3 linked regions of the Astyanax mexicanus genome follow. The main gene of each other region encodes a partner of the protein of the gene in region 3 in a complex. Links are inferred from orthologs where the notes say so. Each region holds a gene or a part of one and is shown on either strand. Other genes may lie near its edges.

Evidence for each region.
Region 1: the proteins of dkk1b (region 3) and kremen1 are in contact, whole or in part, in a crystal structure (PDB 5FWW), measured with the Homo sapiens proteins. The link is inferred for Astyanax mexicanus from reciprocal best matches to the Homo sapiens genes DKK1 and KREMEN1. Residues at the interface, in NP_036374.1 of Homo sapiens: Cys189, Leu190, Arg191, Ser192, Ser193, Cys201, Arg203, Trp206, Ser207, Lys208, Lys222, His223, Arg224, Arg225, Lys226, Gly227, His229, Gly230, Leu231, His261; in XP_011528731.1 of Homo sapiens: Pro67, Asn88, Asp90, Asp92, Ser94, Trp96, Gly105, Val106, Tyr107, Trp108, Tyr110, Asp127, His128, Gly129, Pro132, Thr140, Asn142, Glu164, Ser165, Tyr167, Ala168, Phe170, Asn189, Val191, Phe193, His196, Asp203, Gly204.
Region 2: the proteins of dkk1b (region 3) and lrp6 are in contact, whole or in part, in a crystal structure (PDB 3S8V), measured with the Homo sapiens proteins. The link is inferred for Astyanax mexicanus from reciprocal best matches to the Homo sapiens genes DKK1 and LRP6. Residues at the interface, in NP_036374.1 of Homo sapiens: Glu185, His204, Phe205, Trp206, Ile209, Gln218, Val219, Thr221, Arg224, Arg225, Ser228, Gly230, Leu231, Glu232, Ile233, Phe234, Arg236, Ser258, Leu260; in NP_001401174.1 of Homo sapiens: Arg639, Glu663, Ser665, Ile681, Tyr706, Glu708, Thr724, Arg751, Trp767, Gly768, Gly769, Pro771, Val790, Gly791, Arg792, Asp811, Thr812, Asn813, Leu814, Pro833, His834, Phe836, Trp850, Ser851, Tyr875, Met877, Arg1184.

What each region holds. Positions count from the first base shown.
Region 1 is NC_064429.1:35,668,061-35,678,080, reverse strand, and holds the start of kremen1 (kremen protein 1), read right to left. Parts: upstream 4,651-10,020; 5' UTR 4,478-4,650; coding exon 4,393-4,477; intron 1-4,392. UniProt on the Homo sapiens protein: Receptor for Dickkopf proteins. Cooperates with DKK1/2 to inhibit Wnt/beta-catenin signaling by promoting the endocytosis of Wnt receptors LRP5 and LRP6.
Region 2 is NC_064409.1:30,625,743-30,636,169, reverse strand, and holds the start of lrp6 (low-density lipoprotein receptor-related protein 6), read right to left. Parts: upstream 4,206-10,427; 5' UTR 3,676-4,205; coding exon 3,621-3,675; intron 1,275-3,620; coding exon 875-1,274; intron 1-874. UniProt on the Homo sapiens protein: Component of the Wnt-Fzd-LRP5-LRP6 complex that triggers beta-catenin signaling through inducing aggregation of receptor-ligand complexes into ribosome-sized signalosomes.
Region 3 is NC_064422.1:6,276,159-6,286,140, forward strand, and holds dkk1b (dickkopf-related protein 1b), read right to left. Parts: upstream 4,787-9,982; 5' UTR 4,666-4,786; coding exon 4,471-4,665; intron 3,906-4,470; coding exon 3,764-3,905; intron 3,038-3,763; coding exon 2,894-3,037; intron 2,775-2,893; coding exon 2,524-2,774; 3' UTR 2,095-2,523; downstream 1-2,094. UniProt on the Homo sapiens protein: Antagonizes canonical Wnt signaling by inhibiting LRP5/6 interaction with Wnt and by forming a ternary complex with the transmembrane protein KREMEN that promotes internalization of LRP5/6.

The sequences.
Region 1 (10,020 bases), on a different chromosome or scaffold from region 3:
TTAACTGCATGTGTAATGTGAAGGTACAGATGGCAGAGCTCCTGCTGCCCAGATGGCATAACCTCTCATTTGAATGGAGGGCTGTAATTAAAGCAGTGAGGAATTAAAAGGGAAGCTCTGGGATTTGCTTTTCCAGAGTTGAAAGGAGAACTGAAATTACAGCGTGAGGAGTCCAGCTTATTAAACCCGGCTTTCCCAGCCGCTCCCGGACCCAACCTATAAAAGAGTTTACCCTGCTACCTTTGCTGGAGTAACTGCATCTACTGTCCAGCAGTGGGCTCTATCTCTCTCTACGTCTCCAAAACATGTGTAAACACATCAGATACGGGACAAGACAACTTCTGTTGTATCTGGACTGATAGAGATAAAAGAGAGAAGTGGCTTTATCACAAGCTGCAGCTCCACCATAGACATTCACTGAGAGCAGGGTTGCCAGATCCAGTAAAAATACCCAGCCCAAAGTCTGTCTAAAACCCACCCAACCCATTCAGAAGCTTATATTAGCCCAATACCTATAAAGGTTGCCACAGACACTCACAACACAGTACAACATTTTCATTTTAGAATGAAATTTAAGAGTAAATAATTAAACAAGTAGTATAGTAATAATTTCTGTTGATATTTACATTGAAGACACATTTAAGTAAAAAAAATCTCCTATAATTTTTTTTGTAATGTTTAAATTAAAATATATTTATCTCAAACATTAAAAAAATATCCTGGAAAATTGTTCTCAGGCTGTAAAAGTTTATCTGTCAGAGTGCAGTTAGTCATGCATTGGATCAGGAGTCTGACCAATATGAAGCTCAAATAGAGGACATGACAAAAATAATCACGACTAATCGATTAATCAAATAAATGTTGAGCAGATTAGCTCAATACTGAGCTGTAAATGAAAATACAGCACTATAAGAACTGTTAAACTACTTTTCTTACATTTACATTTAGAATATTTATCAGATTTGCTGTGATAATTAAATTAAATATATTTAATCATTTAATAAAAAAATATAAGGTGTAGAACAGTTAATCTGATAATGAAGGTTAATTATCAGAATTAAAGATGTAAAAGTAATAATTCTAAATTTTTACTGAGTGTATAACTGGTGCAGAATTGCACTTTTTTAGTGTTTTTTCTGATATAATGAACTCTATATCATTTACATTTAGGATATTTAGCAGACATGTGATTTAAACACTGAGAATATGTATAAATGTATAATGAGCTGATGATATACAGTGCGTATGGGTGTTGTCTTGTCCCTTATCGGATGTGTACACATTTTTGAAGACACGTAGAGAGCAGGCCGAGTGTGTGAGACGCCTACTGGACACTATACTACACTATACTAGCTCATAAACTCAGGTTTAATCCATTAATGAAGGTAAATTAGCCGAATAAACTAAATTAATCAGCATTTACCAAATTAATTTAGTGTCTTTTATGCTAAAAATAGCATTTATGCTGTTCATTCAAGCTTAAATTTGGTATATAAGAGACAAACACAAGAGTTACTATATTTAATTTCTTATTTTATTTAATAATTTGATAATTAACTGATTTAAAAAGGTTAATAAGGTTAAATAATGGTGTGTATAAAAGCATGCACACTCACACACACTTACACATATTATTGAGTGTTGCACCTGCTGTAACGCACCTGAACCAGCTCATCCACTCACAGTTAATCCATTAATGAAGGGAAATTAGCAGATTAAAGCTGTAAACGCAGTAATTACACATTTTTGGCTACTGTGTAAAACTGACCCGCACTCTACAGCTCTGTTTATTACACAATCTGCGCATTTCAGATGATTTGCTGTGATAAATATATTAGATATTAATTAAGTTAATAGCTTATATAAGGTGTATAACAGTTAATCGGATAACGAAGGTCAATGAGGAGAATTAAAGATGGAAAAGCAGTAATTTCACATTTCTACTGAGAGTATACTGAGTTTTTTCCTGATATAATGAACTTATTCTTATAATAGTTACATTATTAATCTGTCCATCAGATTAAATATTAAGATATTTATTATTTATGCTGTTTATTTAAAGCTAAATATGAATCTAAGTGATAAACACAATAAAAACGTAATGCATCTATTAAATATCCTATTCTTTTTGTTTTAAAGAAACTTAATCTCATTCATTGATTCCACCTTTAATACACCTGTTCCACCTTAAAAGCTCATTAACAGTCAAAAAATAGGGTTAAATGATGGTGTATAAGAGCTGAAAAAACAGTGAAATGTGCAAAGACGCTCTCACACACTCCTACACACTTTCACACACTGCACATTTTATTGTATGACCTGCTGTAACACACCTGAACCAGCTCATCCACTCACTTCTTAATCCATTAATGAAGGGAAATTAGCAGATTAGAGCTGGAAACGCAGTAATTACACATTTTTGGCTACTGTGTAAAAGTGACCCGCACTCTACAGCTCTGTTTACTCAACAATCTGCACATTTCAGAGGATTTTCTGTGATAATTATATGAAATAATCCTTTAATAGGCTATATAAAGTGTATAACAGTAGATACAACCTGAAGTGTGCACTGTTTTTTCATATATAATTGTGTTTAGAAGTATACTACCCTAGAATTAAAGCTGATTTACCCTATTAGTTCAATATTAATTTAATAACAGCAGGATTATAATAAAAAAAATCTCAAAAAAAAGAAAAGTTTTTATTTGGCGTATGTTACATTAGATTTAAGCATAAACTGCATTATCTCACAGTCTGCTGCTCTGTTTATTCAATATCTTGTGATCATTAAAGTTTTTTCTGCTATAATAAACATAATTGATCACAATTAAATTAATTAATAATTTATGCTAGAAATTCAAGATTAAATTTGGCGTACAATAGATAAACACTTATTCTTTCAGTTCAATACAGACATGTCCTCCTGTTTTACTGTTTCTCACCTCTAACACACTTGTATCACCTTATTCGCTTATTTAAAAAAAAATAATTAGGCTAAATTGTCAGATTTACAGGTAAAAAAAGCTGGATTCGTCCACTTTTGCATACTTACATTTAAAAATATACAGTGTTTTTGTTCTTAAAAACACTGTTTGCTCATTTACAGTCTTGCTGCTGAATTAAGCTCTTATTCTTCACTTATTTATAACATATTAATAAGCTAAAATTGTTTGTTTCAAAGCTGAAAAGGTTGCATTTGTCCACTTTCATTTATTTACATTTCAAAATCTAATGTCTTGCTGCTGAATTATCACCTTGTTCTATAATGTTCTAGTCTTAATAACAATGTCACGTTATTAATAATCAATTAATAAGCTTCAATGGTTAGTTTTAAAGCTGAGAAATCTGTATTTGTCCACTTTTAATAACTTAAAATACAAAATCTAATCAATAAATTAGCTTAAATTGTCCACTGTAGACATTTACACCAGTTTCACCATGTTTTCCACCTTTATCCACCTTATTAGCTCATCAATTACCAATGAATTATAGTAAATTATACGATTTACAGTTTTTTTTACAGTACATTTGTCTAGTTTTGCTAAGTTATAATACAAGACACAAAGTGTCGATGCTGTATTAACTTTATGTCCTGCTCATTTCTTGCATTATAGACGTTATTAGCTCATTAATAACTGATTCATATGAAATATGTTTTAAAATATGTTTCACCACTCATCTGTTCATTTAAATAAGCAAATATTTTATTTATGATGTATTAACTGATGAACACAATGTTTAATTGAATGTTTTATTATTATATATGTAGTGTGCTAAAATAAAGCCATAATTATCAATGGTTTTATTGTCCAAGCAGTAGAGCTCCATATATATATATATATATATATATATATATATATATATATATATATATATATATATATATATATATATATATATATATGTGTGTGTGTGTGTGTATATATACAAAGACATAAAACACCAAAAATATTAGTATACATGTTTTTTTTCTCAAGTTCAAACTGACATAAAAGACAAGTTATAGCACAATTAACTCAATTAAGGCCTTATCAATAAGTTTGCACGCGCACAGCATCACACACTTGCTTCTAAAACACTTAAATCAGCTTCGTTTCCTAACTCTTCGTTCCACCTTAAATAGCGCAGCGGTTGCATTGAGGCGCCCGCAACCGTTGCGCTATTTAAGGTGGAACGGAGAGTTAGACTGACAAACACAACTGAAAGAGCACTTTCAGCCTCAAACTTCTTCCTAAACAATGCAAAAGTTGCACAAACAGCTTTAAACCACTCTAAACACTCGTTCAAGCGTATTTCTCACCATTAACTCCCTGTAAACCCCATCAGAACACCACGCAAACCACCACAAAGTAACTACAAAGTCACAACTCGTGTACTGGGTTTGCTACTCACCGGAGTGGAACTGGCCGAAAGCCGCCCGCACAGCTAGGACGATGAGCGATAAAACTCCCAAACTGTCCATCTTTCCTGCCTCCATTCTTTCTCTCCTCCTTTCTTTTCTTGCTCTTCGTCTTCTCTGCTTTGATCTTCGTCTCAAAGATGCGCCGTTTAGGTGCACGAGCTTCTACTTCTTCTGGTTTTGCACTGAGCGCTGCTGCTGTTGCTGCTGCTGTTGAGTACAGGGGACTGAGTGGAGCGCGAGAGGATCCCTGGGCTGAGTTAAAGAAGGTGAGTAAGTGGGTGAGAGAGGGAGGGTGAGAGAGAGAGAAAGAGAGAGAGAGAGAGAGAGAGAGAGAGAGAGAGAGAGGGAAGAAGAGAGGGTGGGTAGTATTGCTGATCACGTGACAGGAAAATACATTTGGGAAGGCTTGGAAATTTGGGAAGAAAGTTGGGTTTTGCCTCCTTAAATCATGCACCACCAATGCACCACCAATCATGGCAACCATGCATAAAGCAGAAATGTTACACAAATTTAAATGTTTGCATGCTTTTGTATTTCCATTAAGGTTTCGAAACAAAAAAAAAAAAAAAAAAAAATCATCCATTCATCAGCAATCGTTTTCTGCGAATCAGTTTAAAATTTATTGCGATGTCGCAATAATGAAACCTGCATAGAACCATAAACCCTGGCTCAACCCCTCACCTGTCAACCCCCCAACTGAGCTTTACCCACTTGATCTTCTAGTTGAAGAAAAAAAAGTTTCCATTTGGTCTGCTAGTAGAGAACCTTAGACAGTACACAGCAAGATTAGCCAGAAGACTTCGTTTGAGGGAGGCATCTTTAACTACTGTCCGTGGCAAGTTTTAATAAGCAGATAAGGGAGATGTAAGACCTTATAAATAATGAGTTTCAGATTAAGTGTTTTTATTGCAGTTAATCATAAACTAGCTTGTTTGTGTTTCAGCGTTTAGCACAAGCTAAAGGCAGTTTTTATAATTTTGCGCCGAACCAACGCTGTATCCTATGCTAGCCAGCGAGAGGCAGGAACGCGAGGCCCTGGGGACCAATCATAGCTCATAGCGCGACCTGTAGGTGTTCATTAAGCTACGACATAGGCTACAACATAGGTTACGCAGCATTGTAGTAGGTCTGATGCAAAGTATATGTACATAGTAAATAAGATACCACTTAAAAATTATGTGTATTTTTGATTTCTTTTGAGTCAGCATAGCTTAGAACAGTATCTTGGGTATTTCCATTTTCTAAGTAAAGTTAAAGCCAAGAAGTCGTGGGTGCGTGCTCCTGAGAGAGGGTGCTTTTCATGGCGGTGGTGCTAAATTTAGCACAAATTTATAGCTTTATATGAGAGGTCAGTGATGAGAGCAATGAACCACAACCATAAATAACAATATAATGCAATAAAAACAGGTTATGCATAATGTCTTGTTCTGCTAACAGACTGGGAGGGTTTGGGTTATGTAGCGTTTATATCGTCGCTGTCCAATGAAAAACAAGTATGTCCAAAACATCAACTTAATTTTCAAAGGAAGTCAATGTAAAAGTAATTAATTTCAGGTCATTTTAGAGAATTTCTATTTGGCAATTCATCATGAAATTTTGACACAGTGTAAAGGAAAGTTTGTGTGTTCAAATTATGTATTAAACTAAAAATCGTAAAAAATGGAGATATATATATAAAGTTAGATTATTATAATAAAAGGTCACCATTGCAAGAAGTGCTTCCAGTAGACAAAATTAAAAGCACAGGACCCAAAGATGTGAGAAAATGTAAGTATACAATAGAATTGGCATGCCAATACATAATAATAATAATAATAATAATAATAATAATAATAATAATAATAATAATAATAATAATAATAATAATAATAATAACCAAATCTGTTGTTATACAATTTTAAATATTAGGTGATAACCTAACAGTTTTTTTTTTTATCATATATGTATATCATTCAGTTGTTGCACGCATAATTTTTTTTCTAGCAACAGTAAATGTAATGTGGAGTAACGTGTTTAGGTTGTAAAGTGAGCTTTAGTTGGATTTAACTACTAATAAACAGAAGTACAGAAAAAAAATTCATTTCTTTTTTTTGTGGTTAACTGTAATTTAATGTCACCATAGGGTGGGATTTAATCCAATTTATCAAATGTTTCCCCCAATATCAAACCCACTCCTACACCTTTGACCCAAATATCCGAATCTCCTCCCCAGCCCTGGTGCGGTGTGTCTTCCTCTGCTGGCAGCAGCGGGTACTGCAGTCTCCTAGGTGGGCCCGTTATGCCCATTACTGAAGCTCAGAGGAATGACAGGGCAGCTCCACCACCCGCCCTGCAAATAACCGGCCTGCACCCGCATCTCCAGCTCCACACTGATCTCACTGACCACCGAGATTAAAACCAGCTCACCCAGAACCCAGACCTGCTGCCGGATCGCTGAGCAGAAATAACACACTGCTGCCCAGCTCCGCTTTAAGGCCTCGGGGTGAATCTGGAAGACCCGGCGTGAGCGTGAGGGCACTGCCCGTCTGTGGGACGCACCCTGCCGAGAGGGCACCGCAGAATACCTCACCCTCACCACAGCCGACCCCTTGACCCCTGAACACCCGCTGCTCTGACCAGCAGAGAGGTCCTGACGCTCGAGCGCTGTTTAGAAAACAACCCACTGCATTCCTGAGCTCTGTGGCACTTTGTGTGACCGGAGACGGTCTAGCAAAGAGTTCTAGGCAAGGACGGTTCTAGATAGTACCAAAAGAAGTTCTGTATAGTACAGTAAAGCATTCAGTGGAAGAACATCAATGTCTGTGTTTCTAATAAAATGGCAATTGGCTTAAAGCACATGGTAGGGATTTCCAATAATGTGGCCAAAAAAAAATTCTGAAAAGTTATATTTGGCCAGAGAGGAAGCGCAAAAGTAGAAGTTTCCAATAAAGTGGCCAGTAAATTGTCTGTATTTTGTATGTATTTTGAATGAAGTGTCCAATGGTTAACGTACACGGTGTAGGTGTTTCCGATAAAGTGGCCAGTGAGTAGAAGTACAAGGTAGGTGTTTCCAATAAAGTGGCCACTGGAAAGAAGCACAAGGTGTAGGTGTTTTCAATAAAGTGGCCTGTGAATAACGCAAAAGTATGTGTTTCCAATAATGTGGCCACTTTGATAAAGCAAAAGATAAGTGTTAGGGTTAGGGTGTTTCCAATAAAGTGGCCATTGGGTGGAAGCATAAGTTGGGTGTTCTCAAATAAAGTGGCCACTGTGATAAAGCACATGGTAGGTATTTCCAGTAAATTGGCCAGTGAGAGGAAGAACAAAAAAATGTGTTTCCAATAAATAGGCCAGTGAAGAAGCATAAAAATAGATGTTTCCAATAAAGTGACCAGTGAGTGGAAGCAGAAAATCAGCCGTTTCTAATAAAGTGACCACTCTGATAAGGCACACGCTTGCTGTTTCCAACAAATTGACCAGTAATTTAAAGTTATATGTATTGTGAATAAAGTGGCCAATGATTGAAGCACAAGGTCTAGGTGTTTCCAATAAATTGGCCAGTGAGTGAAAGTACAAAAGTAGGGGGGTTTCCAATAATGTGGCAACTGTAATGAAGCACAAGGTAGGTGTTTCCAGTAAAGTGGCCAGTGGTTTGAAGCACAAAGCAGGTGTTTCCAATAAAGTGGTAGGTAGGTAGGTGTCTCCAATAAATTGACGAGTAAATTAGATGTATTTTCAATAAAGTGGCAAATGATTAAAGCAAAAAGCAGGCGTTTCCTGTAAAGTGGCCACTGTGAAGAAGCACAAGGTAGGTGTTTCCATTAATGTGGCCAATTATTTAATGCACAAAACAGGTGTTTCCAATGAAGTGGCCACTGTGATAAAGCACAAGCTCAGTGTTTCCAATAAAATGGCCTGTGAAGAAGAACAAAAGTAAGGTTTTCCAATAAAGTGGCCAGTCAGCGGAAGCAGGAAAGCGGGCATTTGTAATAAAGTGACCAGTGTGATAAAGCACAAGATTTGTTTTCAATAAACTGGCCAGTCACCTAAAGCATAAGTTGGGTCTTTCTAATAAAGTGGCCACTGTGATAAAGCACAATGTAGGTGTTTCCAGTAAAGTGGCCAATGATTTAGTGCACAAAGCAAGTGTTTCCAATAAAGTGGCCACTCTGATAAAGCACAAGGCAGGTGTTTCCAATAAAGTGGCCAGAGTGATTAATCACAAGGTAGGTGTTTCCAATAAAGTGGCCACTCTGATGAAGCACAAGGTAGGTGTTTCCAATAAATTCACCAGTAATGCAGTTAGATGTATTTTGAATTAAGTGATTTAAAGCACAAAGCAGGTGTTTCCAATAAAGTGGCCACTGTGAAAAAGCACAAGGTAGGCGTTTCCAATAAAGTGGCTAGTGTGATAAAGCACAAGGTAGGTGTTTCCAGTAAAGTGGCCAGTAGTTTAAAGCACAACGTAGGTGTTTCTAATAAAATGGCCACTGTGATAAAGCACAATGTAGGTATGTTTCCAATAAAGTGACCAGTGAATCAAGGAACAAAGCAGGTGTTTCCAATAAAGTGTCCGCTGTGATAAAGCACGAGGTGGGTGTTTATAATGAAGTGGTTTTTATAATGATAACGATTCACTGTGTACAGATGATTCACTTATGAACACATAAAAATGAGGTGTAACAGTTTTCAGAGTGTGCGCGTGCACACACACACACACACACACACTGTGAGGCGTGTGTTGTTTGAGGCTGTGCTGGAAATCACATGCTGCTCTGGTCTGAACTTGTTCCTCAGGTACATTCTTCATGGCTGACTGCAGCGACAGTATCTCCAGCCTTTGTTCTGCGCTCGCTGCGCTCGGCTCTTAAACACTTCTGAAGAAGATACACTTCAGTTATTATACTGCATTATACCATATCCACGCATCTTAACACACTTTAAAGCCATAGCTTGGTTTAAAGTCGCATTCCCGCACTCTCCAGTTTACTTAACAGCTCGGCACGGGTTCAGACAGGACCAGGCTTAGACTCGGCCCTTATTCTACATCTCACTTATATCTTCTCTTTCTATTCTACTTTGTACCTACAATTGTACTGTTCCACCTTAAAACTACCTAGTACTTTCAAGTAGTAGTAGGAGTCAAGATAAAAATGTATGCTCTGTATTAATTCCCTCTAAAATTAAAGCTATTCCACCTTAAAGAGTGCTGCAGTTTTAAGCACAACAGAAAACAACTAAGCCTAAATTTATTCCACCTTAAATTCCACCACATTAAATTAAGCTGTTCCACCTTAAATAGTGTAGCAATTTGAAGCAAGACAAAAATGAACTAAGCACTGTATTTGTTCCACCTTAAATTAGGCTGTTCCACCTTAAATAATGTAGCAAATTGAAGCAAGACAAAAATGAACTAAGCCCTGTATTTGTTCCACCTTAAATTAGGCTGTCCCACATTAAATAGTGTAGCGATTTGAAACAAGACACATATGAAACAAAGCTCTATATTTAATTGTACTTGAATTAAGCTGTTCCACCTTAAAAAGTGTAGCAGTTTAAAGCAAACTAAAGCAGTTTTAGCATTAGCTGCTAAATGTGCAAGCTATTTCACAGTTCAGTGTGTTATCAGCCTGTAGCCT
Region 2 (10,427 bases), on a different chromosome or scaffold from region 3:
TAAAACTACAGAAAGTGCAAGCAACATTTGCTAGACCTGGACTAGCATGGTTCTTTTACAAACACTGAATGAAAATTAAGTGAATTAAATTAAAGACAATTGAAATTATTTTAATTTCTGGTTGAGAAAAAACTGCACCAAGGAAAGTCTCTGAACATTTATTTAAAAAAAAAATCTACAAATATTGGTGTCTGAGCAAACAACAGATTTTTTGGCAGACATGACATCTTATTTAAACAAGAAACGTGGATGCAGCCTCACACAGCTGAAAAAGGTAGGCTAAATGCCATTTGGTGCAAGTCTAAGAACATGCCAGAGATATTTTCAGAGCATGCGTCAGAAGCAGCAACAGACAGAGGCATGGGGAAACTCGGTGAATGGCTTTTGTTAGCCTACAGTTAGTGACTGATTGCAATCTACACCAACAAAAGAGGATATTCCTGTCTCTCCTTTCAATAGAGGTACAGAAAAAGTCAGCTATTGAAGGAAATGTAATCCCTGCACCTAGTTTCATCCTGTTCTTTACCTGCAGAATGGGGGATAAACACAAGTCTTTCTGAAGAAATAACAGGTAGGTTCATCCTTTGCTAATTTCAACTGTTAAACTAGAAATCATGGTATACAAAGGAAAGTATCTACTGTCATTAAAAGCAGAAACACTGCAGTTTTCACACAAAACTTTGTCAGGCAGTTCTCTCAGCTTGTACAGCTTCCAACCACTGAATGCTCAGCATACTGTACTGCCAATTGTGTCTCAAGTAGTCAGGAGAGAGCTGGTCCTGATATTAGTCCATTTACCAATAATAAATCACTAGTAAAAAATGTGATTGTTTAAGAAAAGCTGTACTTTGAAGACAAAACTTTGCTCACTTACCCTCTGCACGGATCCAACGCAATTGCTCTTGGCTGATCGAGGCCTTCCCAAAACAAAACTTTCCGATAAGATCCATCAAATTCTGACACTTCTATTCGGTTGGTTTCTGAGTCCGTCCAGTAAAGCTTATTTCCCAACCAGTCGCAAGCCAGACCATCGGGAGAGGCCAGGCCAGACACCACGGTGGTCTGGATACCGCTGGGGCCGGAGGCGTTTAAGACGGTGCACTTGATTGCCTCCTCACTCACGTCACTCCAGTAGACCAGTCCCTGGGTGTAATCAAAATCCACGGCAGCTGCATCCTCCAGGCCACTCACCACCACCGTGGCGTTCCCACGCCCATGAGCGGCGTCCACCAACCGCAGGTCACGCCGGTTTGCATACAGGAGAAGCGGCACAGCTGAGAGTGAGAGGGAGAAATCAACAAATATATTAGCCTGGCAAAGCAAAAATCCCTCCAATATATAAAGATATTTCACAAAACAAAATTTAATATGTGATGTGTAATTACTTGTTAAACAAAGGCTTCCCCGTATGGAAACAGGTTACACTAGCTGAGAGATACAGAAGCAGTATCTAAAGTGAATGAGGCACAGTGACTGATATGCCTGGTAGATTAACATTCCCAAATGCTGTCCATCCCAAAACAATCTTTCATTTATCATAATTTTGATGATTTTGATTTGAGGTCAGCAGTACGAACTTGGCACACAATGTAAACCTAAGCTCACGCAGACAATGCCACACATCAGAACACAGCTACCTTCTTCTGTTACAAGCAGCAGAAACTAAACAAATGGAGCTCTAAAGCAAACAGCACTGATATTCTGCCTTTCTGTCTTTAACTCAGTAAACAAGTAATAAGAAACTTCAGATCAAACTAAGTTGGCAAAATGTAATTTGTGACTGAAGTGCTAATTTGCTGCCTTATCTAGAGTTTTAAAAGCATTATAGAAACGTTTGCATTATGTGTCTGCTAACAGGGCTCCTGTACAAAAATAAACTGACCTAAGAACTTCCCCAGATCTGTATCTCTTACCTCTGCAGGGTTTTGGCACTGACTCAAACCCCAATTTGACACATTGACCACTGCTCTCCAGCGGATCACTTTGGAGGGCAACCTCAAGTTCCCAGTCTCTGACCGATTGACTGGCCTGCTTGCCGTTATTTTTGTTTAACATGAGGCCTGTGAATTTCCTTTCCCAAATATTTATAATCTTGCAGATCACCAAGACAGCACATTGAAGTCCATCCAACACCCTTCACTTACTAGCCAAGTGTAAATACAGGGAGTATTGCACTTTTTGGACAGTTGATACTTGGCTTCTGATCATATAATTTTTGTAGCCCATCTTAGTTTGTAAACATTTTAACAGGTTCTGAAAGTCAGTTTGTTTGCATAAAGGTGGCATTCCCTCTCTACCAATTTTTTATTTTTACCTAAGAGCTTTAAACAGTCACACAGTACGAAAAATATGAGCATCAAACACATTTTAAAGCAGAATCTGCTTACCACTAATTCTAATACCCTTGTGATACACTTAATTTTAAGCATACAACTCTCAAATTACAAGCGCCTTTATTATTTTAACTACTCCACAAAATCAAAATCTTAAAATGTTATTATTATTATTTTTTTACCTTACCAACACTCCAGGGCACAGGTCAAGGAAAGAATGGCTGTGTAACAGATGTATAAAAGACGATGTGTAGCTATAAGTATCTGAAAGTGCAGCTCTGCAACTTCACTCATTTAATAAAAATAACTACAACAAACGTCAGACATCTTTGATAATCAACTGTGGATCACCGTGAACTTTTAAACGATACGTTTAATATGTATTTGAACGTTTCATAAGAATATTAAGGATTACATGTTAAGGAGAATAAAACGCCAATGAATCTCACAATTATTATTATTATTATTATTATTATTATCATTATTATTATTATTATTATTATTAATAGTAATGTTGCCTTAAAACCTTAAAAAAACAAAACACCCAATAATAAGGTCTAGGGCCTCGTTAGTGAAAGTTTAGTGGGGTTGGTGCTGACAAGTTCGGGAAAGCCACGACATCCCTGATCCATCACTGACTGCAGAACCCTGAGAGTTTCAGTGCTGAGCTCTGCTGTTAGCAAACATTCTGTAACGTTAGTTACCTAGCTCAGATTTAACCTTCAGACAGTGAACTCTCCCCTCTCACTGCGGACAAAAACACACTGAGTAAGTTAACTGACTCGCGTTTACTGTCGTTTCTCGGTCAACATTATTCGATCAGAGTCGGGTCTCTGCTGAAAGTGTGGAGCTGCTTTAGCCAGCGCTAGCAGCACAACAACCAGACTAGCTACAACAATACGAGCAGAACGGCTAACTCTCCGCTCCAGCCGGGCGCAGATCACCTACGGGAACGCTTCCCTGCTCTGTGGTAAAGCAGTAAAACACGGTCTGGTTCGTGTTGTTGGTACCTGGGCTAGTGGCTTCAAGTTTCTGAAAAAAAAAACGGGCTGCAGCTCGGCCTGGGCTACACGCTCCCCCGCAGCAGCAGCACTCAGGCTAGTGCAGTAGCTCCGTCTGCTCCCCGCCGGAGTGAAGCTCGCTGAAATATTGGGACACTACTGGAACACTGTAAACCAACTAAACCACCAACACCTATCTGCCTGCTGGAGAGAGAAACGAGCACACCGCTCAGTTCAGAACACCCAAACACTTCCCAACGAGAAAAGGACGACAGTCCAAACTCACCCCGTATTTGCAAACAGAAACTACACAAAAAGAGACTCCGCAGCACGGCGCCCATCTTTCCCCCGTTCTCTCGCCTCTGCTCCTCTCTGCGGCCGGATTTCAGCGCGGGGCTCGCATGGCTGTGTCCTGCTGCCCGCGCAGAAGTGATTCGAGGGTTTAGGGTAAGAGACTTCAGCTGGAAGTGCTGTTATAAAGCCACCGGGGCCGCGGGTTTTCTCCGCTCCATTCTTTCTTTCCTCTCTCGAGCTTCAGCGGCGCTACGATTTCCCCCCTCCACGAAAAATCCTGCCGCCGGAGCGCAGCCACTCGCCGCCTCTCGAGCCGTGTCCTTCCGCCAGCAGGAAATGCTCCCTGAAATCACCCGACCGCTGTCTATTGTTTGTACCGGAGTGTCCCGAGTCAGATACGAGGTTTATCTTAAAAACACAGACACCGGACCTCAGCCGCCCGTCTGTGCCGTAACCGACAGTGTGGAATTTCAGCCAAAGCGCGGGACCCGTGCGTTCAGCCCGCTTGTTTTAAAGCATGGGAAACACATTCCGACGGGACTAGTTTTTCACGGAATGGTCTGGTGCTTCGACCTGTGTGTGTGTGTGTGCGCGTGTATACGTGTGTACACACACACACATCTGCGAGTCAGTGCCGAGGGCTCACACGCTGGTGTGGAGAGTACAGAACGGTCACCAGTCCAGACGAGCCGCTTCAGAGCTGGATAAGAAAGTTTGAGCAGTAAAGCAGCGGGTATACCCCGATTAGACTGCTGAGGATCAAACCGAGTGACTTAAATTCCCTTTAACTGAGTCTAAAAAAAATCAACATGGGTGGTAAAGCAAGAACATTTAAGCCATAGCATTGTTATTACAGTATTGTAAATATCATAAAAGAGACTATATGCAAATTCCAAGTATTATTTCATCAGTCACACCAGGCTCAAACACTTGAAAGTATTTCAAACACAGTTATCTATGGAGTTATTTTTGTGCCAAAAGTTATATATACTTGTACTTGTAACTATATATACTATATATATATATATATATATATATATATATATATATATATATATATATATATATATTTGGTTACTTTATTATTCTTTGCAGTTATTAAATTAGAACAATTATTTGTTTGTATTTTGGCAGCCTCTGCTTTTATTTTTGTGTTTTTGTCTCTTAGTTGCTTTTGCTTAATTATTTGTGTCCATATGTGTATTATCTGCAATTCTGATAGCAGATTTTATAATTTTGTGTAAAACTTTTCGCAACTCTACAAATATCCTGACAATTTTACGTGCATTTTTACTCTACATAGACAAATTAATTAACAGGACAAGGGCACTTTAGTGGGCCATTTAGATTTCAGCTGGAACACTGGCGCTCTTGCCCCGCCCCTAGAATTGGAAGTGAGCAAATTGATCACACTGTAAATGCCTAAAACAATAATTCCTTGTGACATGCCATTTGTGTTGTCATTTTGTTTTCTAAAAGAGTTTCTTGATAATGTGTTGTCCTTCATAATTTTTATTTTTACCTGGATCTCAACGATCTCAAAAGAGATACAAAAATGTTTTAATACATTAAATTTAGGCTATAAAACTTGATTCACATTCCGAACTCTCATTCGGAGTGTAATCCATCGTGTCCACGACCACTTCGCTAGGTGGCAGTGTCGCGAAAACAGGGTCCTAGAACTGCGGTCCTGAAACTGCAGGGTCCTAAAACTGCAGTCTCCGAGGCTGCAGCTATACCCTTCTCAAAAAATCACACCAAAATATTAAGAAAATATTTCTAGCAAAACAGAAAAAATATTTACTAACAAAACATTGTTGTTTTGTCTGGTGTAAGAGGAATTTACATATAAGGGAACACAGGGTGCATCCAAAACTATTACTAATACCAGTGCAAGTGCAGCATACAGTATCCAACAAAAGTGAAAACACCCCTCACATTTCTGCAAATATTTCATTTTATCTTTTCATGGGAGAACCCTATAGAAATGAAACGTGGATATAAATTATAGTAGTCCATGTACAGCTTGTAAAGATTTACTGTATTCCTAAAACATCTGAACACTCCCCACAGCCATTAATGTCTAAATAGCTTGCAACAGAAATGAGTGCGCCTAACAGTGAAGAATTGTGCCCAATTGTCCCCCTGTATCTCCCTGGTGTCATGTGACTTGTTGGAGTTTCAGAGTTCCAGAGTTCCAGGTGTGATTTTGGGGGGGATTCTCTCATTCTGGCCACTGGATATTCAACAATCCACTTCATGGAAATTAAATGAGAATGTGAGAAACATAATTGTTGCTCTTCACAAAGATCTAAGCTATAAAAAATGCTAACACCCTGAAACAGCATGGTGGCCAAGGTCACACAGCAGTTTTCCAGCACCAGAAAGCTTTTAAACAGTTTGCTGAAGACAAGCAGTCCAAGAGCATGGATTAATGGAACCATATCCTGTGATTTAATTAGAACAATACAAACATGTTTGGCTCAGACGGTGTCTAGCATGTGTGGCAGCACCATGGAGAGGATTACCAAGAGAACTGTCCCTTGTCTACCCTCAAGCATGGTGGAGGTAGCATCATGGTCTTGGGCAGCATAAGTGCTGCTAGCACTGGGGAGCTGAATTAGTGTACATAAACTGTGATATTTTAATGCAGAGCATGATTCCCTTCTATCCCAAACACACCTCAAAAATTACATCTGCCTTGCTGAGGAAGCTAAAGATAAAGGGGATGGACTGGCTGATTTTTTAATCATGGGGGAGTGGAAGAGGATTCCAGTGGCAACCTGTGTTGCTCTGGTGAATTTCAAGCCAGCCAGTCACAGGTGGTCAGTCAGTAACTCGGACAAAGGCAAAAAGTTGGAAATAGTTTTGACTGGATTTATGGGGAACAGAGAAAATGTGAATCAGGCAGGCTGTATCCTGGATCTGCAGCCTTTATCTAAGAGGAAACATTAATTACCAATAGCTAACCTAAACAATTAAGACAGTATTTGAGACCCGAACATCTTCAGGAAGGTCATTCCAGAGCTGAAATACCCTTGCTAAACTCCTCTTAATTCTGACAACTGGCATATTTCAGTTCCCAGTTGAAGTTGAAGTTTATTTAAGGTTTTGCTGGAACATCCTGACAGTTGCGCATTACAGTAGTCCAACCTTGATTTAGTGAAGGCATATAGGAATTTGTCTGTGCAAGAATGAGGCATTTCTTAGCCTTTCAATGTCATTGAATTGTAAGAAAGCTGTTCTGGTTAGAGTATTGTTTATCAAATTCTAGATCTGAATCCATGACAACACCAAGATTTTTAGCTGATGAACCAGGTGTGAGATAAATGTAAGTCTGATAATTTATATCTGGAAGATTTAAATCATAATTGGAAGGTATATAATTTACCTTCACAAACTAATAATGATCACGTAAATATAATTTAAACCATGATATGGCTGTTCCAGTTACACCGACCATGTTCTTTAACTTTCTAGAAGCATAGTATGATCTCTTGTATCAAAGGCTGCACTCAGATCAAGAAGTACCAGCAGGGAAACACAGCCTTGGACAGCGGTATGAAGCAGATTGTTTGAGTTAAAGGCTTCCAACCTAACTGGCTTTTGTTCTGGATGTGCTATTTATCTGTTGATTAATTTTTCAAATATTTGAAATTGAATTATTGAACAAGTCCATAAAAGCCTTGCTGGTGTGAATGGCTGCAATCTGAGTTTCAGTACCTGCCTGGTTTCAGTCAGTTTGGAAATAACACTAAAGAGAGCTCAAGGATTGTTTTTATTAATGTCAATCTTGCCAGATACTCTGAGCAGATCTATTAAACAATACTGTCCTTTTAAGCAAAGTGGAACACTTCCAGAGTGTAAAAGGTTTATGGCCTTTTACACTCTAAATTTCATACTAATTGCTTTAAAGTACGCATTTGATCATTGTACCATGGGGCAAGCTTTTTCTGTGTCTCTTTTCTGTATTGAAGTGGTGCTACCCTATTTTCTAAACAATCGGTTAGTTTATCTAGCTCTATTGGGTCTGCTGGAAAATACACTGTGCTTGATAAATTAGGGAGGTTACCAGTGAATTGTCATGCTGTAAATTATTGTTTAGATATTGTTTTTTTAATGGTTGATGCCGATATATATAAAGCCGATATTTTTGTTGCAAATGATTGTTTTTTAGTTTGTTCCCCCCCATTTATTTATAATAATAATAATAATAATAATAATACACATTATAACCATCTGAAATTACAGTATTGAAATAGTTGAGTACTTTAAACAGACTTTAATTCCAGTGTTTCAAACATTGAATATTTGAGACCTTTACACTTGGAAAGTGTGCAGTGTATGCAAAGAAGAGACAACAGAATCTTTTACAAGTGATTTAAAACACAAAATATGGGTAAAATATTTACACAAAATGTACAACAATCATATCTTACCTCAGTCAATCAGTGAGATTACAAAGTAATAAGAGAGACCCTGCTCTTTCCACTGTCTACCTATTGTTACAGAGGGCATCAATAGGTAAATTAAGTAGTTAATGCATATTTAAATCTTCCCATTATCACAGTTTATTATTATTTACTCACACAATCAATGAAAGAGTATATTGTGAAAAAAAAAAAACGGACATTCTGCATTTTAAAGAGTCCCCATTAATAATGCCTTCACAACATGCAGTACCATCATACTTACAAGATGAACACCGAATGTAATATAAATGCTTACGGTGTATTTACTAGTGGGGAAGTGAGCAACCTTGGAACCCCCACCCCTTGGTGTAATTGTTTGGCTTTTGTAATCTGGCTTTCTGGCATTTTGTTTGAGTGATTTAGCTATAGCAAATCAGTTCTAGAATTTAGCTGGGCTAAATTGCCTCGTTAGTATTAGCTTAGCTAAAGTAGCCTGTTAGCCGAGCTAAAATAGCCTGTTAGCCTTAGCTGAGCTAAAGTAGCCGGTTAGTGTTAGCTGAGTTTATTTAGCCTGTTAGCAAAGCTGAGATAAAGTAGCCTGTTAGTCGAGCTAAAGTAGCCAGTTAGCGTTAGCTTAGCTAAAGTAGCTGGTTAGCATTAGCTAAGCTAAAGTAGCCTGTTAGCATTAACTAAGCTAAAGTAGACAGTTAGCGTTATCTGAGCTAAAGTAGCCGGTTAGAAGCACTGAGCCAAAGTAGCAGTTCCCTGTTAATTAAGCTAAAGTAGCCTGTTAGCGTTAGCTTAGCTAAAGTAGCTGGTTAGCATTAGCTAAGCTAAAGTAGCCTGTTAGCATTAACTAAGCTAAAGTAGACAGTTAGCGTTATCTGAGCTAAAGTAGCCGGTTAGAAGCACTGAGCCAAAGTAGCAGTTCCCTGTTAATTAAGCTAAAGTAGCCTGTTAGCCAAGCTGAGCTAAAGTAGCCTGTTAGCGCGTCCACACGCAGCGGCTTCTCTCTCTCCCAAGGAAACTGTGTTTTTGTGTTTTTTGTCCTGTAAGTTGCACTGTTCCTGTACTTCTTTTTCATGCTTTTACATATTGTCTCTTGTATGTATGTCATGTATTTTTGTGTGTATGTCATGTATGTCTATCTGTGTCCCTGTTGCCCTGTTGTACATATGTAACAGTGTTAAAAGTATATATAAATAGATAACAATATATAAATTACTGCAAATGAGTTCAGCACCACCTGCTGGTCAAAGGCTGCCAGTTTTTAGTATAAAATGAGTGCATGCTGGGAGACCCCCAGCAGTCTGAGATATCCCTGCTGTGGGTGAGTTGGCTCTCTACAGAGCTCCAGTAAAAATCACTAAAATAATAAAATAAGTACTCAGTGCTAGTATATTTTAATACTTAACAGCTCTAACCGACTATATAATGAATGTGCATGTGTTAGTTACATGGATTAAGTCATTTTTGTGTGCCAATTAGCTAGCTAATTAAGCTAGCTGATTTAACTAACAGGCCACATGTCTCTGTTGCTAACAATAGCTAACTCTGTTTAGGCTGGCAAAGCTGACCAGAAACTGATCTGATGTGTTATGTGAATGCTGAACTCGTTGCAGGTGGGTTTAAATATATAATACGTGTTATTCCTTTGGTTATATTAATAAGTTAAATATTTGAGGAATTAAAAAAATGTGCTTTAGCCATGAGCCTAGCTTTGCTAGGTGTGTTATATCTGGTGTCCAAAAGGTGGCAGTATTGTATCTCTTTTTTCAATGTTTCTACTGTGAAAATCTACAAAATGGATGATGTGATTTGTGCAACTGTAGTATAATTTTATAAGAATGTTTTTATTTTATTTTGTCTTAGTCATTATTTTGTAAGGATAAAGTTAACTTAGTTAGATTAATATAATGTATACTAATTATGAGAATACCGTTATAATATAATACTTCATAATAATTATAATAATAATATAATTACGTGAATAGATACCATTATAAATGTTTAGTTGCTTAATTAATATTTACTATACGATCACTGTTTTTTTCTATTTTTATGTACCATGGGCAAGAAAAGTGTCAAAACTGTACATACAAAAAAAACCGAGCAGTCTGAGATATCCCTGCTGTGGGCTGGCAAAGCTGACCAGAAACTGATCTGATGTGTTATGTGAATGCTGAACTCGTTGCAGAATAAAAATACCCATCATCCAAACCATGTGGTGTCCATCCCTGGGGCGGGACGGAGTATGAGAGGTCACATTGGTGCCGTGACTCGTGACATCTGTCTGGAACTGAGGGTCGTCCTGCCATCGCCCGGGTGGAATTCAAGACCAAGTCTTTCTGCAACCTGCCAGTTTTCTTTTTTTGTGTATGTGTGAG
Region 3 (9,982 bases):
TCTGGCATTTTTGAAGCAGGATTGAGCTGGTTAATTAGGAACCTAGATCACATTTGAGTTCTGTCACTGTTTGGTAGCCAATGTCTACAAAATAAGGACCCCACTTTGAGAAGAACCCTGGCCAAGAAACATATCAGTTGAGTTTTTAATGGGATGTCTATAGTTTACTGCATGTCAGTTATGAATGTATTTTAATTTATTTGACTGTTTTTTTACTGTTTTGTAAGGATTATAAAAAGCTGGGAACCAATAGTGGATCTGAGGAGTGGATCTAGTGGCATTTTATTTGTGTGCAGCTTCTTTTTTTTAAAGTGTATTTCATCAACACACAAGTTTGTCTTTATATTTGTTTTACCTAAAAAAGTGATAATTCTAATACATAATGGTTATTTTTAGTTTATGAAGATTTAATGTGATATCTGGATGTAGTAAATTCAATATATTTTAATTTTATTAGTACAGTTTTCTTAAAACGCTTTTTTGCCAAAGCCATCCAGAACATCAACGTTCCTCCAACAGACCCAGGAAGAAGCTCGTGCCTTTAACTGTGGGTTAAATTAGTGGGTAAATATTTATCTCAAATTAACATGTTGGGGGCCTTTCTAAGTAAGTCTCTCAAAAAGAGACTTCACTTACTTAACTATTTGTTGCAAAATAGCACTGTGAAACAAAGTCGCCCTTCAGTCAACTTCAAAGCGAGCCAGGCTTTTGAGGAGCACTGCAAACATTCACACTGGCCCCTTATGAGGCCCTTAAATTGCTGTTTTATTGTATCCGGCACAGAAAAAAATAAAAAAGAAAGAAAAATAGAAAATCCACTTCTATTCAAGGTACGATTCAGTTATGATTCCTAACACAACCGTTTACTCCCTTAAGCAAATATCAGATTGAATAGCCGGGGACCTCCTCTGGAATCCCAGAGATGCCTTGTTGCCCTCAAAGAATTAGCCACTTTACTGTATAGTTGGCAAACTAGGGAGTTTTAAGTTTCTCTTTGCGCCATTGTGACAGTTGGGATTCCACGCACAGATGTTTCTGGGCCCTAAGCTGTTGATGGTATTGACAAAAGCTGGGGGACGTCCTCCCAGCACCAGCCGGAGCACATGGATAGGACAATTGCAACATGTATATCCTGTGCTTTGAAATGCTTACCCTTCTGCTTTGTCTCCTTTGACAGCTCCAAGTAAGCCCCCAGTTTCCAGTTACTCCAGAGGAAATGCAAAAAGGACATAGTTCTCAAAGAGGAGAGGGCACTAAAAAGGAGGGGATGTCTTGAGTGGCGGGATTTCATGCTTTTGTGTTCCTGCCTTGCTCTATTTGTACATACAAAAAAAAAAATACTTTCTCAAAAGTACAACCAGTAAATCCCCCTGCACTGAAAGATGGTCAATAAAGTTGTAAGAAAGAAGTTTTTAAATACAAAAATCATTAGATTTAAGCAACTTACATGGTTTCAAACAAGAAAAAAATGCTGAAAACTTACACCAAATGAAACCCCTCCATTATAAACTAGTATATTCACAAAGAAATATACCCTCCTCTTCTCTGAACTATGATACTTAATTTTTCAAAACTTTGACCCTTTGGTCTCATATTAAAACACTGCAAATACCACATAATAATTACACTCAATTAATTAAAAACAAGATGGTGGGAATCCCAGTCATGAGTTTCTCCTGCCAGTCCAGACAGAATCATTGGCAAGGTATACACATTTTTATCAGATTTTATGTTTTAAACTAGTTTATTTACTTACTGTAGAAAGCTATACATTAGTTTTTGGGCTAATTTGGCCCTTCTCATTCCATATGGGATGGATCATTTTTAAACGTTAAAATAAACTACTGTCCCCATTAAGGATGAAAAAAGACAAACTTAATTTGTTATACTCTTTAGGTCCTATTAATCCCACATGTCCAGGATAAATTGCGCACCAAGAAAAAGTCTATGTCTCAGGAGGTTAACTCCTGAAATATGTAAAATATTAGATTCCAGATAAGATTCAAATTTGAATTCAAATTGTAAATAACACCTGCCCCAACCATTCAAAAAAGTGCAGAACTGAAAGAAAGACTCTTTATGCTTAGACATGGATTTGAAATATCAAATATCATAACTCTTTATTTAGAATAAAAAATAGACATATATCAGACTCTATACGATCATGAAAATCTGTATGTACATTTACAATAAACTGGAAAAAGCTTGGTAAAATCCTCATCCTCAAAAATCATTGTGTTGACAAAAAAAAGAGTTAAGTGCCAACTTCCCTAGTATTTACAATACAGTAATGTACTGCAACCATCAAAAGCCAAGTTCCATAGAGAAACATGTATATCTACTCTGCAATGTTGACATACAAACTGTAGACAGGAAGAAGTAAGAACAAGAGTATTCCAATCATAATCCATCCATCCTTTCATCCCTTCATCCATCAAAATCCATCAGTAATGGAGTTTTCTCTTTCTTTCAGATTGGTCCCACTTTCCAGAAGCTTTACGCAAACAAAATCCCACTGGATTCTCAGTGTCTCTGGCAGGTATGGAGGCTTCTAGAGGACTTGCTGTGGTCTCCTCGTTGCGTCCGGCAGGACAGGCCTTCATCGCAGTCGCAGCGCTGGAAGATCTCCAGTCCGTGAGTGCCTTTCCTCTTGTGCTTGGTGCAGACCTGACCCTCCTTTAGGACAGGCTTGCAGATCTTTGACCAAAAATGGCGAGCACAGCACAGCCCCTCCGCACAGTCAGAAGACCTCAGGCAGGTCTCGCCCTCAAGACCTGAAACATTAAAAAACAGACCAAAAAGCAGATTAGACCAAAAGCAATCACTCATAAATTATAAGAATGTTTATAATTGCAATTAACATATGTTTCCAAAAGCATGGTTAATAGCTTACCTTTCAGGTTTTGAGCTAGATTATGAACCGGTGACTTGGGCTGCAGTACCAGTGTGGCGTTCTCCTCATGGGGGGCGCTAACGAGCACAAATTCTTCTACTCCTGCTTGGAGGGCAATGTCAGGGTCGTTTGGTTGACACACTCCTGTTGAAAACAAAAATATATGGTTTTATTCATTCATTCTTGTCATTTTACAATATACAATGATAAAGCAACAGGTTGTTCACACTTTCCTTTCCACCCTAAAATGATGTAGTAAATGTTAAATGCTTTATGAATGTTATACATTTCTGTATATGTTGTGCAGAAATCACAACTTATTTTAATATTCTGTGCCATCTTAAAAGTATAGGATAATAAGTAGAAAGTGCGTCAAATATGCCTTTTCAGCCTGAAGCCTCGTAGTTAAGGTGAAATTGTAAATAAGCAGAATTTAAGGTGGAATGGTTAATTCATGGTAAAATATATATGGTAAAGTGAATCGTATTAAAATATTTTTTTTTTTGACATGGGAACCGTACATTTATTGTAATATTTAACATTATAGATTTTGACACCCCCCCAAACAAAACTTTTTATAATAAATGTAGAGTTCAGGGTTTAGGTCATGCCGAATCGCAAGTAAAAGATAAAAAAAATGCACTGTTGAGGTATTGGACTGGGAATTATTGGAAAAAAAAGATGTCCTGACTTCATATGTAGTTCCTGTAAAAATGTTGTTTTCTTAAACCCTGGATTTTAAAGACCCTATTCGCCTTAGTGCCCAACAGTGGAGACTTCGCTGTTTAGGGTATCGAACCTACAACCATGTGGTGGATACAGACTGTCACAGTATTTTAACTACCTTATATGTGTGAAGGAGGCTCTTACCGTTGTTGCAGTGGTTTCCAGGGCAACACATAGCATCCCGGATGCAGCGCTTTCTCCTTTTCTTACACTGGAGGCAAACGCCGCGCGATCGGAAACAGAACTCGTCTTCAGCGCACTGTTCATCCACCACACATACAAGAGGCTGCGTTTCAGAGAGGACAAAAAGAGAGAAACAGCGACGGTATTAGTCAGTGAAAGATTTAAAGAGCTGGAAAATATGGGGAAACATTCATAAATAATAAGTATCAAAAAATAACACTGAAAACGTTCAATTTACTTTAAGACATATTAGCGGTTCTTTAACTTGAAAATGTGTATGCATTTTTTAAAGTTGCTTTGAAAAGAGAAAATATTTCTCCTGAAGGTTTCTTAAAAACCTTAAAGATTAATATTGAAGAACCCCTAAACGTTCCTCGAGGAGCCTTATTAAAAGATTTTATGAAGAAAAAGGTTCCTTGAAGCTTTCCTAAAGAACTAGATAAGGTTTATGTAAAGTTAAAAAATAAAGAACCCATAAAAGCTCCTCAATGAGTTTTTAAAGAAAATGTTTCCTGATATTTCGTTGAGGTGCTTTAAAAAGAGTCATTTTTTAAGTGTTATTCTACAGCTTGAACCGTATGGTTCATGCAAACAATTTAAAACTGGAGAACCTCTAAAGTTCCTCAAAGAACTCAGTGTGGGACCCCCGAAAAGACCATCCTCCTCACCTGCATGGTGTCGGTGGCGAAGTTCTGACTGCCCTCATCCACGGGGAACACCTGTGGGCTCTCGCTCACCGCCTGATCCGAGCTTTCCACAGGTGCACCCACCTTGATGGCGTTGGAGTTGAAGAGCCCCCCGGCCGCCGCCGCCGTGGCAGTGATCAGGGTGAAGGTCAGGGCTGAGAGCGCCGCCGGCCACATGGTCGCAGATAGTCCGCGGTGGAGGTGCTGCTGGTGCTCGGTGCGCTATATTCTCCTGTTCGCTGGAGCTCCTGGAGCTAAGCTGCTGGCTGAGCTGTGTTCTGAGGCTTCATCAGACCCTGGTGCCCCATTTATACCCACCCTAATGTTTGCGTTCACGCCCCTCGCTGAGGGAGGGGGATGCGATTTCAAAGGGAGCGGCGCTGCTGGGGCACCGAACCCGGGCTGCCCACCGACAGAGAGCCTTCCCTCTGTGTGTGTGTGTGTGTGTGTGTGTGTGTGTGTGTGTGTGTGTGTGTGTGTGTGTGTGTGTGTGTGTGTGTGTGTGTGTGAGGCATCATCACAAGCAGCTAACATCAAACACAAAGCAGAGTAGTCTATTAAGTGAGCGGTTATCCTTGCTTTAACTGGGATTAAGGAAATGTGTATTGGAGAGCCGGTCTAATCAAGCCGGATTATTTACCTCCAGTTACACAGAGGGATGTTTATAGTATTTTTTTTATTTTCGATTTAATGTTATTTACAGTATTAACTAGTTTATTAACCACTTATATAATAAAAAGTAATAACCAAGTTTCTCTTTATTCGTTTTATGTATTTTATTATCTAAATCCCATGTGAAGATTATTTTTATTTTTTATTTTAACTAGTCGCATTACATTAATTTACCGCACTGCTGTGAACTTTTTTTTTTAAATAATACATAAATATTTGTATTATTAAATATTAATTTTCAGTTTTTTTGCGCCTCTTACTAAACTGCTTATTTATCCACCCATCCATAATTTGGAGTTTGATTATAATATTAAGTATAATTTAAAAGTTTATTAATGTGTAGAGTAGTCTATATGAAAAATAAAATACGTTTCGATCTATACTTCAGTGCCTTTAGATATGTCGATATCTATTGATTAAATAAAAGAATGATGCACCATATTTGCTAACGTTCTTTTTTTTTGTAAAGAGTGTAGAGAAGTGTACACATATTATTATGCGTGGATAGTGCGAGTTCTAACCTCTGTGTTGTATTGTTGCGGCTTAGTGTGAACTTTTCAAAACTTTTTAAAAATATATTTTTTATTTATCTTTAATTTTAAACACATCATTTTACCTTTTAACTCGTGATATACACTTAATTGTTCCATATCATATAATTAGCAATCATTGTGCAATAAGTTAATAAAAATAATTAAATCAACGGGTTAAATAAAACGTCAGGCTTTTTAAGTCAGTGCTCCTGCACCTGCACTTTCTTATATTATGTAAATACAGTGTTGGTTCCACATACAATTTTGGGGTTGCCGACAGGTCAGGCTTTAAAAATGTTTCAGGTATGTTTAGTGGGTAAGTGTACAGCAGGCAACGAGCTACAGAAGGTCGGCTGAAGTCGGCCTCTCCATGCAGTGTCGCTCCATTAGCCGTGTTTGATGCGAGCTCTTAATTGTAATGGAGGTACTTTGAAATTCAGTTGACAGAACAAGAGGCGAAGATCAAAGAGGGGATGCAAATGAGAAGGAGGGAAAAGTTTACCGAATTAATTATCATTCACTGTCTGCTTTTCAGTAAACAGTGGCTGATTAACACTCTTCGGTGAAGAGATGAGAAGTGTAGGTTTGTTGTGAAGATCAACCGTCCCGAGGTTCAATCAGATTGAGGTATTTATTCTTGACTCGACCTGTTAATGTTATCTATGAGTAAAGCAGTTGAGATAGCTTGTTCTGTAGAAAGAAAACATGCCTACTGCAAAGCTAATGGCCAATTACAAATCGAGACATCTAGGCTTTTGAAGTTTGAACACAGCTTAGATGCATTCTGGTTCTGGTTATTTTTTTTTTTTTTAGATTTATATATTTTGACAGGATAAATAGTTATCAATGGTTTAGAATACATTCAATAAATAATAATAATTAGATAAGAAACAATTGCCAATATATATTTTTAAATAATGGACTACATAGCCTACACACATCAGAAAAGACGAGGCTGAAGTTGGTTTGATATTCGCAGCTCCAGATTCGTTTGGCTCGATATTCGCAGCCTCGTATTCCCCGGCTGAAGTTGGTTTGATATTCGCAGCTGCCGCTTCACTGAACCACCGTGAACTAAAGGGAGCGTTCACAAACACCCGCTGTTTATATTAAACACCTCACAGATCAACACTGAAGGAGATAGAATGAAGAAAAGCAGTACATCTGTTTATTAACAATGTAAATATACAATATATTATTAAATATAATTTTGTATATTGTAAAATATTTATTTTAATTACTGAATTTATAATTATATATTACAATAAATAATTAAATATATATTTAATACAATTATATTTTAAAAGCCATTGCGCTCAAATAATATGAGGCAGATGTTCAAGTGTGATTTTGAAGAACTTTTTCATGTTGGGCCAGAACAAATACACATGATCTGAAGAGTACTAGTCTTCTACTTTAAGAAAAACCTGGAATTAGCCTGGCCCAAGCTGATTTTATACTTTAAAATGAACTGGCAATCTTTGAAAGACTTTTTCATCTTGGGCCAGAACACATACACATCAGATGAAGAGAACTACTCTCCCACTTTGAGGAAAACCTGGAATTAGCCTGGCCCGAGCTGATTTTATACTTTAAAATGAACTGGCAACAGCATACCAATCCATAATGCACAATTTTTTTTATGTAAAGCTGATGTTCCAGTGTGATTTTGAAGGACTTTGTAATCTTGGGCCAGACCAAATACACATGATCTGAAGAGTACTAGTCTTCTACTTTAAGGAAAACCTGGAATTAGCCTGGCCCGAGCTGATTTTATACTTTAAAATTAACTGGCAACATGGCATACCGATCCATAAGGCACAAAAAAGTTTAATTTAAAGCTGATGTTCTAGTGTGATTTTAAAGGACTTTTTAATCTTGGGCCAGAACAAATACACATGATCTGAAGAGAACTAGTCTTCTACTTTAAGGAAAACCTGGAATTAGCCTGGCCCGAGCTGATTTTATACTTTAAAATGAACTGGCAACATAGCATACCGATCCATAATGCACAATTTTTTTTATGTAAAGCTGATGTTCCAGTGTGATTTTGAAGGACTTTTTCATATTGGGCCAGACCAAATACACATGATCTAAAGAGTACTAGCCTTCTACTTTAGGGAAAGCCTGGAATTAGCCTGGCCCAAGCTGATTTTATACTTTAAAATTAACTGGCAACATGGCCTACCGATCCATAATGCACAAAATAATTGAATATAAAGCTGATGTTCTAGTGTGATTTTGAAGGACTTTTTAATCTTGGGCCAGACCAAATACACATGATCTAAAGAGTACTAGTCTTCTACTTTAAGGAAAACCTGGAATTAACCTGGCCCGAGCTGATTTTATACTTTAAAATTAACTGGCAACATGGCCTACCGATCCATAATGCACAAAAAATTGAATATAAAGCTGATGTTCTAGTGTGATTTTGAAGGACTTTTTAATCATGGGCCAGACCAAATACACATGATCTAAAGAGTACTAGTCTTCTACTTTAAGGAAAACCTGGAAATATCCTGGCCCAAGCTGATTTTATACTTTAAAATGAACTGGCAACATGGAATACCGATCCATAATGCACAATTGTTTTTATGTAAAGCTGATGTTCTAGTGTGATTTTGAAGGACTTTTTAATCTTGGGCCAGAACAAATACACATGATCTGAAGAGAACTAGTCTTCTACTTTAAGAAAAACCTGGAATTAGCCTGGCCCGAGCTGATTTTATACTTTAAAATGAACTGGCAACATGGCATACCGATCCATAAGGCACAAAAAAGTTTAATTTAAAGCTGATGTTCTAGTGTGATTTTGAAGGACTTTTTAATCTTGGGCCAGAACAAATACACATTATCTAAAGAGAACTAGTCTTCTACTTTAAGGAAAACCTGGAATTAGCCTGGCCCAAGCTGATTTTATACTTTAAAATGAACTGGCAACATAGCATACCAATCCATAATGCACAATTTTTTTTTATGTAAAGCTGATGTTCTAGTGTGATTTTGAAGGACTTTTTAATCTTGGGCCAGACCAAATACACATGATCTGAAGAGTACTAGTCTTCTACTTTAAGGAAAGCCTGGAATTAGCCTGGCCCAAGCTGATTTTGTACTTTAAAAGGAACTGGCAACATGGCCTACCGATCCATAATGCACAAAAAAATTGAATATAAAGCTGATGTTCTAGTGTGATTTTGAAGGACTTTTTAATCTTGGGCCAGACCAAATACACATGATCTGAAGAGTACTAGTCTTCTACTTTAAGGAAAACCTGGAAATAGCCTGGCCCAAGCTGATTTTATACTTTAAAATGAACTGGCAACATGGAATACCGATCCATAATGCACAATTGTATTTATGTAAAGCTGATGTTCTAGTGTGATTTTGAAGGACTTTTTAATCTTGGGCCAGACCAAATAGACATGATCTAAAGAGTACTAGTCTTCTTCTTTAAGGAAAACCTGGAATTAGCCTGGCCCAAGCTGATTTTATACTTTAAAATGAACTGGCAACATGTAATAAGGATCCATAATGCACAAAGAAATTTAATATAAAGCTGATGTTCTAGTGTGATTTTGAAGGACTTTTTCATCTTGGGCCAGAACAAATACACATGATCTGAAGAGTACTAGTCTTCTACTTTAAGGAAAACCTGGAAATAGCCTGGCCCAAGCTGATTTTATACTTTAAAATGAACTGGCAACATGGAATACCGATCCATAATGCACAATTGTATTTATGTAAAGCTGATGTTCTAGTGTGATTTTGAAGGACTTTTTAATCTTGGGCCAGACCAAATAGACATGATCTAAAGAGTACTAGTCTTCTACTTTAGGTAAAGCCTGGAATTAGCCTGGCCCAAGCTGATTTTATACTTTAAAATTAACTGGCAACATGGAATACCGATCCATAAGGCACAAAAAAAGTTTAATTTAAAGCTGATGTTCTAGTGTGATTTTGAAGGACTTTTTAATCTTGGGCCAGACCAAATACACATGATCTGAAGAGTACCAGTCTTCTACTTTAAGAAAAACCTGGAAGTAGCCTGGCCCAAGCTGATTTTATACTTTAAAATGAACTGGCAACATGTAATAAGGATCCATAATGCACAAAAAAATTTAATATAAAGCTGATGTTCTAGTGTGATTTTGAAGGACTTTTTCATCTTGGGCCAGAACAAATACACATGATCTGAAGAGTACTAGTCTTCTTCTTTAAGGAAAACCTGGAATTAGCCTGGCCCAAGCTGATTTTATACTTTAAAATGTATTGGCAACATGGTATAATGA